Drosophila melanogaster: one gene and its partners. The protein of the gene in region 2 interacts with the protein of the main gene of each other region in a pairwise test. Each region holds a gene or a part of one and is shown on either strand. Other genes may lie near its edges.

The links. The genes of interacting proteins can lie anywhere in the genome.
Region 1: the proteins of CG31802 (region 2) and RhoGAP19D interact in a two-hybrid assay, tested with the Drosophila melanogaster proteins (one large-scale study listed by BioGRID).
Region 3: the proteins of CG31802 (region 2) and Noc2 interact in a two-hybrid assay, tested with the Drosophila melanogaster proteins (one large-scale study listed by BioGRID).

The regions. Positions count from the first base shown.
Region 1 is NC_004354.4:20,507,694-20,512,589, forward strand, and holds the start of RhoGAP19D (Rho GTPase activating protein at 19D), read right to left. Parts: upstream 3,002-4,896; 5' UTR 2,826-3,001; intron 1,775-2,825; 5' UTR 1,673-1,774; intron 1-1,672. Other genes in the region: CG1812 (uncharacterized protein), read left to right, coding at 4,215-4,394.
Region 2 is NT_033779.5:18,207,617-18,210,978, forward strand, and holds CG31802 (uncharacterized protein), read right to left. Parts: upstream 1,622-3,362; 5' UTR 1,533-1,621; coding exon 972-1,532; 3' UTR 799-971; downstream 1-798. Other genes in the region: CG42750 (uncharacterized protein), read right to left, coding at 2,153-2,532, 2,941-3,244.
Region 3 is NT_033779.5:21,161,794-21,166,591, reverse strand, and holds Noc2 (nucleolar complex protein 2), read right to left. Parts: upstream 2,952-4,798; 5' UTR 2,914-2,951; coding exon 1,888-2,913; intron 1,829-1,887; coding exon 554-1,828; 3' UTR 502-553; downstream 1-501. Other genes in the region: CG43346 (uncharacterized protein), read left to right, coding at 40-492; Nbr (nibbler), read left to right, coding at 3,590-4,359, 4,415-4,798.

The DNA of each region.
Region 1 (4,896 bases), on a different chromosome or scaffold from region 2:
GTCAACAAAAATATTGTAATAAAAAAGAAGGTTAATCAAGCGGCTTGGCTGCGAACCGAGTTCGTTTCCCCCACTTTGGGTTAAGGCGGCTCGTGCTCGGGCCGCTGCCAATAGGCTTAGAGTTGAGGCAGAAGGTGAAGACAGCGGTTCCCAGGCCCCCAGCCACGTCCCTACACTGAGAGAAAGGGCTGGGCCACTTTACTTCGCATTACAAATAAGAGGAGGTGAGATGGCGAGAAAGGTTTAGATTACGATTGCCAAGTCTCAATATAGTTATTTAAATGAATCGCATATATTTTTTGAAGTTCTATGCTTAGTTTTTTTTTTTTTTAATAATAATTAAACACGTCCGAACTCGATTTCCTTTCAGTTTCGAGCTCGAGATTTTAAAGAACCCCATTGGAACCCTATTTTTTAGCAAATAAGTGAGCAAAGTTCATAGAGCATTTGTTTCTGCGCGTGTAACTTCAAGGTTTTATGTAATTTTAGTTTGTTGCTGTTTTTTTTTTACTCGCCCCTTTGGTTTTTTTTTTTTTACTTTTGCTTCTTGCGTGTTGACCAAGACACAAAAAAAAAATTGGAAAACAAAATACAAAATAACATTAGCCCATGGAGAGGCAATAACAGTAACAGTAACCAAAGTCCGGCGCATAAAGTTGAGTTTTCTTACAATTCGTGATTCGGTCCGAGTTCGAGCTCGGGCTGGAAATGCCCGTTATTATTGGCCGGCATTCGCAGGGGGCAGAAACACGTAATGGATTTAACTATTGTTGCAATAATTGCCAATTGGGCAACGTAATTCTTTGCTCATTATACATAATTATCTATTGACTTTTACCATTTGCAGCAGAGGTGCGTGTGCTCCGATTGTTCATGTCTTTATTTGCCCATTGTCCTCAAGTTAGGGGCAATGTCAACGAAGTTAAGTGGCAAAATAGTAAAACAGTAGAGGAAATGGGTAAAAAGTTGGCCGAAAGTGCCCGATAATTCCACTGCGAAATGGGAAATTTTAAACCAGCTGAGTATTGATTGCAAATTACGGAGGTTTCACGAAAATTATCCTGCAATTTTTAAGTGGGCGCTATATGGCAATATCGTTATAGCCAGCAAATACTGCGGTAATTTGGGAATAATTTCAGAAATTAAGTAATTTATTCCTGTTGATTACTTTTTTTAATATTCTTTAATATTCTTCAATGTGACAGGGGTTTTAAAGTTCGAAAAAGGTTAAATCCCTTCAAACGCAATCGTTTGACTGTTAAGGGCTACAATTCTTGTAAATGAAAATTTATTGCACTTATTTATCAAAAAATAAAAAATAATTCAGAAGTTTTAAGAATGAACACATTTTTTTATTCGCCTAATTTCTTGCGTTGTCTCTGTGAATTCTGCAGAAGAATTCTCCGCAGAGAGGAAATGAGAGAAAGAGGTCCAGTAGAAGAGAGAAGGGAGTCTGGTGGTACGTAAACAAAAAAAAAACCTAAAAAGCAGGAAGACAACTTTCGCTGCTGGCATACAACGGAAAATGGAAGACGTGAAAGATGGGAACAGAGCAAGAGAGCAATAAAGAGAGTGCACAAAATGGGCCGAAAAGTGCCGATTCTTCAATTGTTATACTGTTTAGATTTACACAACATTTTTATAAAATAAACAAAAAGCCTATGATACTTACCAAAAACCAGGAAGATTTTCTTCTCCCTTTCTGACGATTTTCTTTTAAACTTTTTTGTTGCTTCCTTTTTGTATATTTATGATTTCGTTTTAATTTTGCAAACTAGAAAAAACACAACAAAAACGGTGTGGAGCTGATAAGGCGATTTATTGTTTGTTTATTTAAGGACATTCCTCAATTCTTTCCCATTCTTTCCTCTCTTTTCTTTTCCTTCTTCTTCTTATCAATGAAATGTGAGTCAGTGGCAGCCAAAAAATCAGCAGTAACGGTCAAAATAATAGCACTTCAAAGGGCATTCTACCGTTAACTACCGATAACTCAAGAAAAGTAGAAAGGAGTGCACTCTTTTACTTTCGTGACATAAGATTGATTATTTTACTTTAAAGATACTAAAATGTTTGTTATTTTTAACAAATTTTAATTGTCAGTAAACGCGATGCTATTGATACTATTATCGTAACCGTAACTGTGTTTTTATGTTTTTTCTTGTGGACTTTTTTGTTTTGCTTTATTTTTTGGGTTCTACATGCTGCCGACGCCGCAGTTGGCGTCGCTGCTGGCAGTTTCCTCATGTGGCGCGCACACACGCACATACCGCACACAAAAACACACTCACACACACCTACACGACTTCATTTCTTTTTCATTTCTTTTCCTTCCTTTCGTAATTGCTCCGCTTTTTTGCTTCTTCTTTAAGGTTGCAGAGTGCGGGAAAGAGAAAGGAAGAAAAAGAAACAGCGCGACAATTTTCATTTGGGCCTGTGCAAAAAAACCACAAATACAGAGTAAAAATCTTTATTTCATGCACGTTGCATTTTGCACTCCAATTGTTGTTGCCGCTTCAGCTTCTGCTTCTTCTTCGCCATTTGACTGTTGCTTTCTTTCGTTGCTTCTGTTGTTGTGGTTGTTGTTTTTGGCGTCGTCGGCGGCGGCGAGCAATAAACTAATTACTTTAACTAGCGAACAACCAAAATGTTTGCCGAATTCGTTGTGTGTTTTTCTTCGCCTTGCATCGATCCTTGTATTTTTTGGAACGCCTTGCACACATTCATCGCTTGCTTTTTACTTTTTTATTACACTTTTCGCCTTTTTCTTTTCACAAAAAAAAAATTTGACGCCACACGTTTGTTGTTGTGGTTGCGCCAGCACTTACGCTGCTTTAATTACTAATGATTCACAATACAATCAAGCGATCGCGCGCGCACCGTCTGCACTTTCGGCCAAATTACAATTAATTAGTTGTGTATTTTACTCTACTTCTTGTTTTACTTGCTCCGCTTTCCACTCGATTTCGTCCGATGTGATTTTCGAGTGACCAGACCAGTCGAGTAGAGGTGGAATACGGCCGATGCCACGCAGGCTATCGATGTTTTCATGCCTGGACGTATGTCGATACTTTGCAGCAGCTTATCGGCTTATGCTGCGATATCACCACTGGACGAAACTTTGGCCATTAGTTAACACTGGAGACTATAGATATTGTGAGAAAAAAAATTAAATACAATTTTTTTACCTGCTAGCCTGCACTTTATTCTGAAATATTTGCAGTGAATAGATACAGCACGCTGAATAAATGTTGGTCCAAGAATGGAACGCGTATTTTTAAGAGTGTATTTGAACTCACCCACACTAATATCATAGTGTATTAATTTAAATATATATTTATATAATATATAATACTTAATTAGATATCTTTTCTCGTATCAAAATTATTTGCGGATCCGAAAAACATTTTCTAACAAGAAACAACTGCCTAACGTGAAATACTTCAATGTCTCTGATAAGATTGACTTTTTTAAAGAAATTAATTAATTATTCTTTTAGTATTAATATTTCTGCCTAAAGTTAACGTAAGCTATCTTACTAAGCTAAACTAAGTAACTAACATAGACTTATTTTGGTGCAAATTTAACAATTTCATTTTTAAATGCTACCATATCAATGTTAAAGGGGAAATTCGCGAGCTTTTGACTTCAAAAGCTAGCATTCTCTTATAAAAACCTTTTAAATTGCATACTCACCCGTCTCCCAATTAAAAGCACCCAGGAATACGGGTATATATATGAAATTTGAAAATATAATTTTAAACGATCGCGCTCCGCAATCGATAGCTAAATGCGCATCACTAGCGGTGCTAGCCGACTTGGCAGTTCAAACGTCAAGAGAAGAAACGTCAAAAACGCGAAAAGTAAAAAGTCGCAAGAGGGAAAAGAAGCAAAGAGGTAGCAACAAGCAAAGAAATCGCACGCGAAACTTTTTTCTCTGCCAGTGTTTAGCAATAATTTAGCTAATTTCGTGCGTATATTTGTCGTAGAACGGTTCATAGTTCGCCAAATAACGGTTTGTAGACAGCTGGCCGCGAGTGTAAACAGAACGTGCTGCCCTCTCGCTCGCACTCGCACTCGCGCACCAGAAGCTCGGTCATCTCAAGAATTTCTTATCAGACGGATTCCCCAACCTTGGGACCACATAGGTTAACATATATATAGGTTAATAGCCCGCTCTAATCTTTGGTCCGTTCCGAGAGAGTACAGCGAACAGCATGGCAGCGACGCCAGCGCCAGCAGTGACGCCGGCAGCGACAGCAACGTCGGCTGCGGCCAAAATTCCTGTGAATCCCGTGTCCCCCGAGGAGGAGACCCTTCTGCGGGGCCTCAACAAGCTGCGCAACGAGGAGAAACTCACGGACGTCACTCTGATCGTCGAGGAGCACCGATTCAAGGTAGGACCCCACCCACACCATTATAGATCCGAGCAATAGCTACATGGAACAGCCCCATCTGTGGATCTGCTTCAGAGATCGTGCCACATCTGTGGGATCAGCTGAGCTACGAGCGGTTACGTCTAGCCTCATGGACACGGCACATCGGCGAAGGCGGATGAAGTTGGGTTGCACAAGTTTGGCTCCCAGAGTGCGCATAGCAAGTATGCATAGATTATCTTTCAGAGCAACTTGGTTGTGATTAGGCTAGGTTAGTTACGACAATACCTTCAATGGCCTGCGCATAGGACAAATAGAAATCGCACTAAACCGGATTGCTCGCATCCTAAACTCGGCGGTTTGGCAGTTTGGCTAGTTGGCCAGTTGGCCATTTGGCCATTTTGCGAGCTCGTGTTAATTATATATCGGAAACCACGAAAGCATAAGGTGACTAGTTATAGGGTTAGAGTGGCAAGTGGTAGGCGAATCGATAATCGTGGCCAGCAAAAAAGCTCATCTTTAC
Region 2 (3,362 bases):
TATTAGCGTTCGGTAATTATATTGCGTATACGTCGTGTTGGCAGGCCATGTAGAGTCAAACCATGTCAGAGCTATATCATCAGATATTCCCCAAACTTTGGAGCTGCTTTAAAGAAATCCCAATTAATGTGATAACAATAACATTTATAAATCCATTCATCAATATGCTTTAACTAGAGTTTGATAAATTTAAAGTCTGAATGCGACCAGCAACTAAATGGAGTTAAATGTAACGCATAGCGTAAATAAAACCCTAAAAACGATGCTACTAAATTATGTTTGCCGTTTGAACAACGAACCGAAGACACAGAGTTAAGAGTGAATAAGGCACAGAAACGGGGACAGGCAAAGATGGGAAATGGAAAAGCTCTTCCGGCAGTTGGAAAAGCGCCCACGCATGCCACCAAATTGCAGCCACAATTTGCTGCAACGAACTCAACTGAAAACTGAAAACCGAAAGTGGAGCAGGCCCATGGAAAAGCATACATCAAATGTGTCAAAGAGATTTGTTATGCATGACAGAGGCCTGTGACAGCAAACTCGCCCAAGTATCAAAAACAAGGACTATGAGATTCCCAGCGATCTGAAATTGTTTTATTTCAAAAATTTCATAGAGTACGAAATACATAACTTTAAAAGAATTCGTAATGATAAACCGAAAATTAACTATCCGTAATTTGTGCTCATTACTATACTCTGGTTTTTATTGTTATGCAATATTTAACTAAAAACATAGAACCCATTTAGATTCCCAAAAATATGGGTTCAAGAAGATTGAATATCAAAAATATCAAAAATAATTCAATGCGAAGCTTTATTGAACCGAAGCATATCCAAACTTCTTCACTGTAATGGGTTTCGAGTCAGATTGATGTGTCTGTCTGAAAAATGAGTAAATCTATATGGGTTATATACAACGTCGTTTCCCGTTTACACAAATGAATTGCGGAATAAATTTAAACGTAATGCAACTAGATGAGATTGGTTTTCTTGATAAGGTTGAGAAACTCCTCCTTGCTAACCTCACCATCACCGGAAACGTTGGCTTCGTCGATCATCTCCTGCAGTTCCTCGTCGGTGAGCTGTTCGCCCAGCTCCTTGGCCACGCGTTTCAAGTTGAGGAAGGATATGCCGCCGGTGCGATCGTCATCGAAGAAGGAAAAGGCCTTCATCATATCCTGATTAGAGTCCTTTTCCGCCATCTTCAGGCGCATCAGATATAGAAAATCGTTAAAGGCAATCCTTCCCGTCTTGTCCTTATCGATTTCGTCCATCATACGCTTTATATCCTCTTTCTTCGGCTCGAATCCCAGGGCACGAATGGCCACGCGAAGCTCCTTGGTTTCGATAAAGCCCGTGCACTGGGTGTCGAACAAATCGAAGGCTTTCTTAATGTCCACCTTCTGGCTTAGCGACAGGTCAAAGGTCGGCAGTTTGGGCTTTTTCGATTTTTTAGCCCTGCTTGAGATCGATGCACTCGAATGCATTACACTGGCGGAGGACACCATACTACCAAGTCGTTTGCCGGACATGATGATCTTATCGGCTTTTTGATGTGGGAGTCGGTAGGAATATCGATTGTTTGAGATCTGCTCTCTTGGAATGTGAACGTATACTGTGTAGAAATCGGGCGGGCTGTTCGAACTGGCCGACAGTTGGGGACTTGACCTACTCGGTTACGATAGTTTTGGGCTTGACTTTGAAGGAATTTACATTCTAAAGTCACAAAGCTGCCGAAAAAGCACTTAAATGGTCAAATGGGAGTATATTTAATTCTAAAAAAACATATCAAGGTATTGTATTGGATTATCTCTGAAATTTATCGACCCGAAGTGCTGGCTCACAGCATTTGCCATAACAATCAAAATTCATGTGTGCCCTAATACTTGGCGAACTTGAAGTCTCCTCCATTCCCCTCGCGATTCGAAGACAGCTTGGTGGCCTGAGCCCGAGCCCCAAGAGTCAGTGGGTGTGGCAGGTGTCAGTCACTCGGTCGTCAGACTACAACATCCACCTCCTACGTGCCACGCTCTGTTTGGTTAGCGCATTTGCCTGTTGCAAAACTCTGTCTGTATTTCTGGTGGAGGCACGTGCCGTTGGCTGCTCATGACTACAATTACAATTACACAAAGTGTAGCGGGGTTTCACTCACCTGGGGGTCTCCGGCTCCTCCTGTTCCTCCTCCAGATCCCATTCCCAATCCCACTCCCAGTCCGATTCCCAATCCCGTTTCCATCCCAGTCAGCGATAATTTACGATTACGCTCGCGCTCCAGTCTCATAAGTATCTGCGCATTCTGCTCGCAGGAGTAGGTGTGTGTCTTACGCTTTCGTTCCAGACTGTACTCGTACAGCGGCCTTGCCGCATTCGGTTGCAAATCCAGTTGGGCCTCGTCGCCGGCATCGCAGCTGCACAGGGACTGATTGGAGCGGCCCTTGCTCCGCTTCAGGGATCCGCGGTTCGACGACGAGGGCGTCAGGCGTTGTTCACTTACAAAATTCGAGAAGGTTACCACATTGCCAGAGGAACCTACTGGAAGATAGAAAAAAAAGTTGTTTAGCTTCCATTTAAAGTTCTAGTCCTGTCCGTCTACCACATTCTAGTAATGTGCGCTCAACTACTCTTAGCAGCAGAGGCGCTAATTGTTTACTCTACGAGTTACAGAAGAAATATACAATTAAATTTCTTTTCTAACAGAATCTTGTATAATATGTTATTAAGCTATTTAAATTTTGTCTGAAGTGCCGCATAAAAATAATTTATTATTATTTATAGCGTATTGTACATGCAAGTATAAGTACTGAATGCGCTGGTAGTAATATCTTAATTAGAGTTGTTAAGTTCTGACACTTATTTGCTTAATGAGCAAGCTGGGAAAACTTTTATATGATTGACTGATGGGCCTGGCGTTTATTTACCCCTCAGAAGGGTGCTACTCACCTGAAGTGGCTCCTTTTCGCTTGGATGGTGAGACGTAGAAGATGTCGTGCTCATCGAACTCAACGCTCCGCTGACTTGTTATGCCGACACCACCGTTCAGGCCACCCAGACCGCCCAAACCGCCGGCACCACCAAGTGCTGTGGTGGCCGTGGCCGTACTACTGCTGGTGGTGCTGGCCGCACTGTTGCCACCGCTGCTGAGGTTGCAGCCGTGATCCGCCAGGGCGTGCAGCATCGGATGCACCTGTCGATCTCTCAGGGAGTGCTGCTTGTGCAGGCCATTAGTTCGTCTTAGCTCCGTCATCGTCCTGATTTCACTCTGCGCTTCTTTTTTATTCCCGGAGCCGGCTTATTGTCATCACTCCTGCGCTCATGAAATATTCATGCCACACGACTTCAAGTCCTTCGCGACTGGGGCATTA
Region 3 (4,798 bases), 3.0 Mb from region 2:
AAATAAATTTAAGTTCCTCGCTCTTAAGTTAAAATAAGCATGGCTAACAAGCCGACGCGCGATGTGATCGGCATCATCTTCAAGAACTTTTGGAAGTCCCTACGACCGCGGCAGTTTCGTGGGGATTACATTGGGGAGGACTATTTCGGGAATAAGTACTACGAAATTCCTGCAAATCCTTCGATTGGAAAGAGGAAGCCTTCCCGGTGGTTCGAGCCAGCGGATAAGGAAGCCTTCGACCAGGAGCTGACTGCCGAATGGGAGGCGTGGCTACGAGGGCGCCGGGAGGAGCCGCCCACCCGCGAAGAGCTGGTGAAAAATCTTCAGATTATGGACATGAAGAAACGCAACGCCGCCGAATTGGAAGCAACATACGCCAAGGGCAAGGACGACAAGGCACTGCCCAAGCAGGTGGACGGACCAACTATTGGAACCTTTCCCAAATACAAGGAGTATGAGTTTATTCCTGGCAAGGAGCCACCGGAGAAGTAACTCTATATTGGTTTTCCTTTTAATTTAATGTGTAAATATAGTTAAATTGATCTTAAATGTTTTACCATTCGTTCAAATCTAAGTCCTTAACAATATCCACGGCTCCACCCGCCTCGTCGTAATCATCTTCCACTGTTGCTGGCCGAGGTTTTTGTTTCTCGGGCTTCTCTTTCTTCGCCTTTTTGGCTTTAGGGTGCTCAACTTCCACCTCCTCCTCCTCCTGTACATCCTCGTCGTCATCATCATCTGATCCCAAATGCAGGCCATCATCGCCTTCATCTTCCGAGTCCGAGGGGAAGAGTTCGACCTCGCCGTTTTCATTTCTCACTGGTACTCCGGTTTTGACCGGTAGTTTCTTTAGCTTGGGCACATCATAGTCCGCATTGATTTCATCTGTATGTGCTGCCTGTCGTCGCTTCTTGGTCTCGTGTGTCTTTAGCCAGCTGGCATAGTAGACGTCTAGTGGAGTGCGCTTAAGACGGAGTTGCTGCTCCCAGGCGGCGACCGCCTGCGCATCCTTTATGTCAAAAGTGACACTGCTCTTGCCACGTTGCTGCTCTATGAAGCGGGCACTCTCCTGAATCTTCTCTAGCAGCTGTTTAAGTTTTCGAGCATAATTGGCATTCCTGCATTCCTTAAGGTACGTTTTGATGGCCATGACAGTGGGCACCACCAAATCACTAAAGGCCAGCGAGGTGGACTCATGAGCGAGATATTCCAACAGAAGCCCACACACCTGCTCGATCACCTCATCGCGGAAGCCATTTTCCGCCAACTGCCCTTTGTTAAGCCTAAGGACGCAGGTAAACTGCACTGGCTTCATGGATACCGCCGAGTGCTTGCGGTTAAAGGTATTGCTCTTTAATACCTCCACAATGAGTGGAAGCACCGGCACATATGTGTTTGTCTCTTTGGCCAGTGAAATTAGGGTCTGCAGACAGTGGAATCGCAATGGGAAGTATTGAGCGGTGGGTATCAGTCGAATCACTCCGGTGGCAATGGTAACAAGGGGATAAATCAGAGGCTGCAACTGTGGTTTGTTCGCACTTGCTCCCAGGAGATCTGCCCACAAGCGCAGCGAGTTAATAAATTGCCAGTTGTAAACCGCTTGGAAACTGTCCTTTTTCTTAAGGATCACTGCATTTCGCAGGTGAATGGCCAACTGTCGGATGTAGAGGAAGACATGTTGATAACTGACGTTTAAATCCAACGCGAACATCTCCACCAGCGAGCGGCGCATAAAGTTGATTCCTGGTAAAGTGTTCGGCGACACGAACTTGGAATTGCGTACATAGGCCAGGTACATGGCTTTTAGAACGTGATTCAGCATGGTCGCCTGCAAGAACCATTGGTGTTAGCAGGGGTCACAATAAGTGTCTAGTTCAGAATATTTACCTGCTGTTTCCTGGTTATCTTCAGAATGCAGAGAAAGGCCAGAACACGAACTGTTTCATCTCCAGTGGACCATAAGACAACCAGACGCTTTAATATGGTCTTTCCAAGTGCCGAAAAGGGAACCACCATGCCGGCCATTTGATGCAAATGCTTCAGCAACACGCCCAAGATATTTGGACTGGACACCTGCTCCACCAGACGAATCAAATCGGTGAGGTAGTAGCGCAAACAGCCTCGCACCTTGACCCACTTCTTGTGCTTGTGCAGCGGTAGGCTGCTGTTGGGTCTAACGCCCAGCAATCGAATTATAGCGGGCTGCAGGTGGATTACGCAGAGCTGAATTACTCCATTAAACGCAGCTGCCCCCACTACCTTAAATGCGGCAGCATTATGCTTGTTCTCTCCTCCGTCCGCTCCGTCGGCAGAGATACTAGCCAGAGCTGAATTGAAAGCCTGGATAACCTTGCGGACAATGTCAATAGATATGTTGGCCTGGCCCAATTGCTGTTCCCACTGATGCAACAGGTTGAGGGTGATCTTTTGGATACCTCCAGCTGCCGCATCGTCCTCTTCGTCGACCTCAAAGTCACTCTCATCGCTAGCCACCTCCAAATCCTTGCTGGGTTTGTGGTACTTCTCTTCGTCATCCTCGTCATCCTTACTTTCCTTAGTTACCGTATCTTCCTTGTCTTCCTCATCCCCCTCTTCATCATCATCATCATCTGTGTCCAGTAAATTAAAGTCCAGTAGCTTCTTATCATTATTTTTTAAGAAATCATAAAATTCTGGGTCTATATCTTTAAGCCCTTCAAGCTCCTCTTTGTGGGATTTCTTAAATCCCTTTTTTGTGGTCTTCCCATTCTTCACTGGTTCGGCGACTTTCTGCTTCGGGTTTCTTGGAGTAACTTTCGTTTCAGAGGTTGTTTGCGGTTTCGTCTTCCTGATGGCATCCTTGGCGGGCTTCTTTTTGCTTAGGTCAGGCTTGGATTTGCCCAGGGTCTTAATTTTTTTCGTAGCCAGCTTCATTTTTCAACGTGCAAACTAAAACAAAAATGCACGTGTGCTGTTCAACGGGGCTGCCACGCTGCTGAATTGTGGGCAGTGCTGCCAATGCGTTAGGAAAATAGAGCTAAATACAGCTATAGTAAAAATAGGCAAGTTTTAACAATTTAATTAAAATAAAAACTCATTAACTCATTTGCCAGTTGGACTTCAAAGGCAACACAGTTAGAATAACTATAATACTTATTATTTTAGCTAGACTTTTATCAAATAGTTGTTCTTTGGATTTCAATCCTGCAATACAAATGATTGCCGTATTTCCAAGCAAATTTAATAAATAAATTTTCCAATCAAAGTAAAAATTGTAAATAATTTTGCACCGGCGGATTTCATGTACCTTGTTCACTGTATAAAAAATTGCTAATTATAAATATATATTTAATATTAATATATATATATATATATATAGCTTTCTAGCAACAAGGCATTAATCTGCGAAAAAAATAATCTTGCTTTAAAAAAATCTATAACTTTTGGCGGTTTCTGCTGACGTTTGGTGTTGTTTTGGGCGGTCACTGAAACATCGATGTTTTTGAAATCGATATTTCCATCGAAGTTTGTTCGCCTTTACCGTCAATTGCATTTGCAATTGGCAATTGCACTTGCTTCGCTCTGCAGTGGCACGGGAAACCCGTGAGAAATGGCACGCAAGAGCCACATGTACAACGCAATACCCGCCGGCTTTGAGTCGGACGAGGAGAACATGGAGAACCTAATGAGCAACCTGAAGATCAAGCGCTTGGAGGACATCACGACAGGTGCTGGAATCGACGGCTGTAACTTTGACGCCACCTTGGACGCAAAGGCGGAGGAGTTTTTTAAGCTGTTCCGCGAGAAGTGGAACATGTATAGCAAGAAAAAGTCGCCACATCTGCGCCAGGAATTTGGAAGGGCTTTAATGGGCCATCAGGATCCTTTGCTCCTGGCCCTGAAGATCTTCGCCAACTGCCCAGACAGCAGCAACATCAAGACGAAGAGCTTGTCACATTTTGTGCTGGACACGGTTTGCAAGCTCCACAAGGATTTCCCGCATCTTGGCGAGGGCTGTGATCCCAACACCAGCATGATAGCCTTTAACTTTGTCAAGACCTCCGGCTTGCTGGCCCTCAACAATGCTGTTATCCATGCCTACAGTCTACGTCAGATCCGCGACCTACTGCTTCCCAAGTTGCGCGAACTCCTGGACAACGGGCTTTACAAAGAGGTCACCCAATGGTCCATCAGTCTGCAGTTGACGCACGAGTTCGACATGCTGGAACTGGCTTTCCCGCTGATTGCAATTGAGAAACTACCACTGGCCGAGGAATATCTGGACCATGCCACACAGCAGAGGTTGCCCTTTGTCAAGTTCTTGGATTCGTTGCTGCACAAGGAGAAGTCGGTTTTAGAGCTCTGCGAGCATCTACTCGAGTATGTATTTGAAAAACTGGTCTTGCAATTCATCTAATTCTATCTTCACTTGCAGTCGGTACAAAAATCTCAAAATTTCCCATAACGTGCTCAGCTATCGGCCTATGGCCAAGATTGTGGCGCGACTGGCCAAGAAGTATGGTTTTGACGACGCCGTCACGCCCAACTATAAGTTCACGAAGACGTGCAGCTACTTGCATTACCTTTACCGCGAGTACGAGAAGACGCGCATGAACCTGGCCAGTTTCCGGGAGGTTGTGAGCGTCCATGCCTTTAACCACGAGCTGCGCACGGACTTCGTAAAGTATTTGGCCTCTGCTGGAGCTCATTCTGAAGCCATCTACTGGTACACGGAGTTCAATATTGACCCGAAAGATTGTCCGTTGGAGATCGAGACGCAGGTATCGCAAAACGGTGCTGGAAAAGCGTCAGGCTGGGA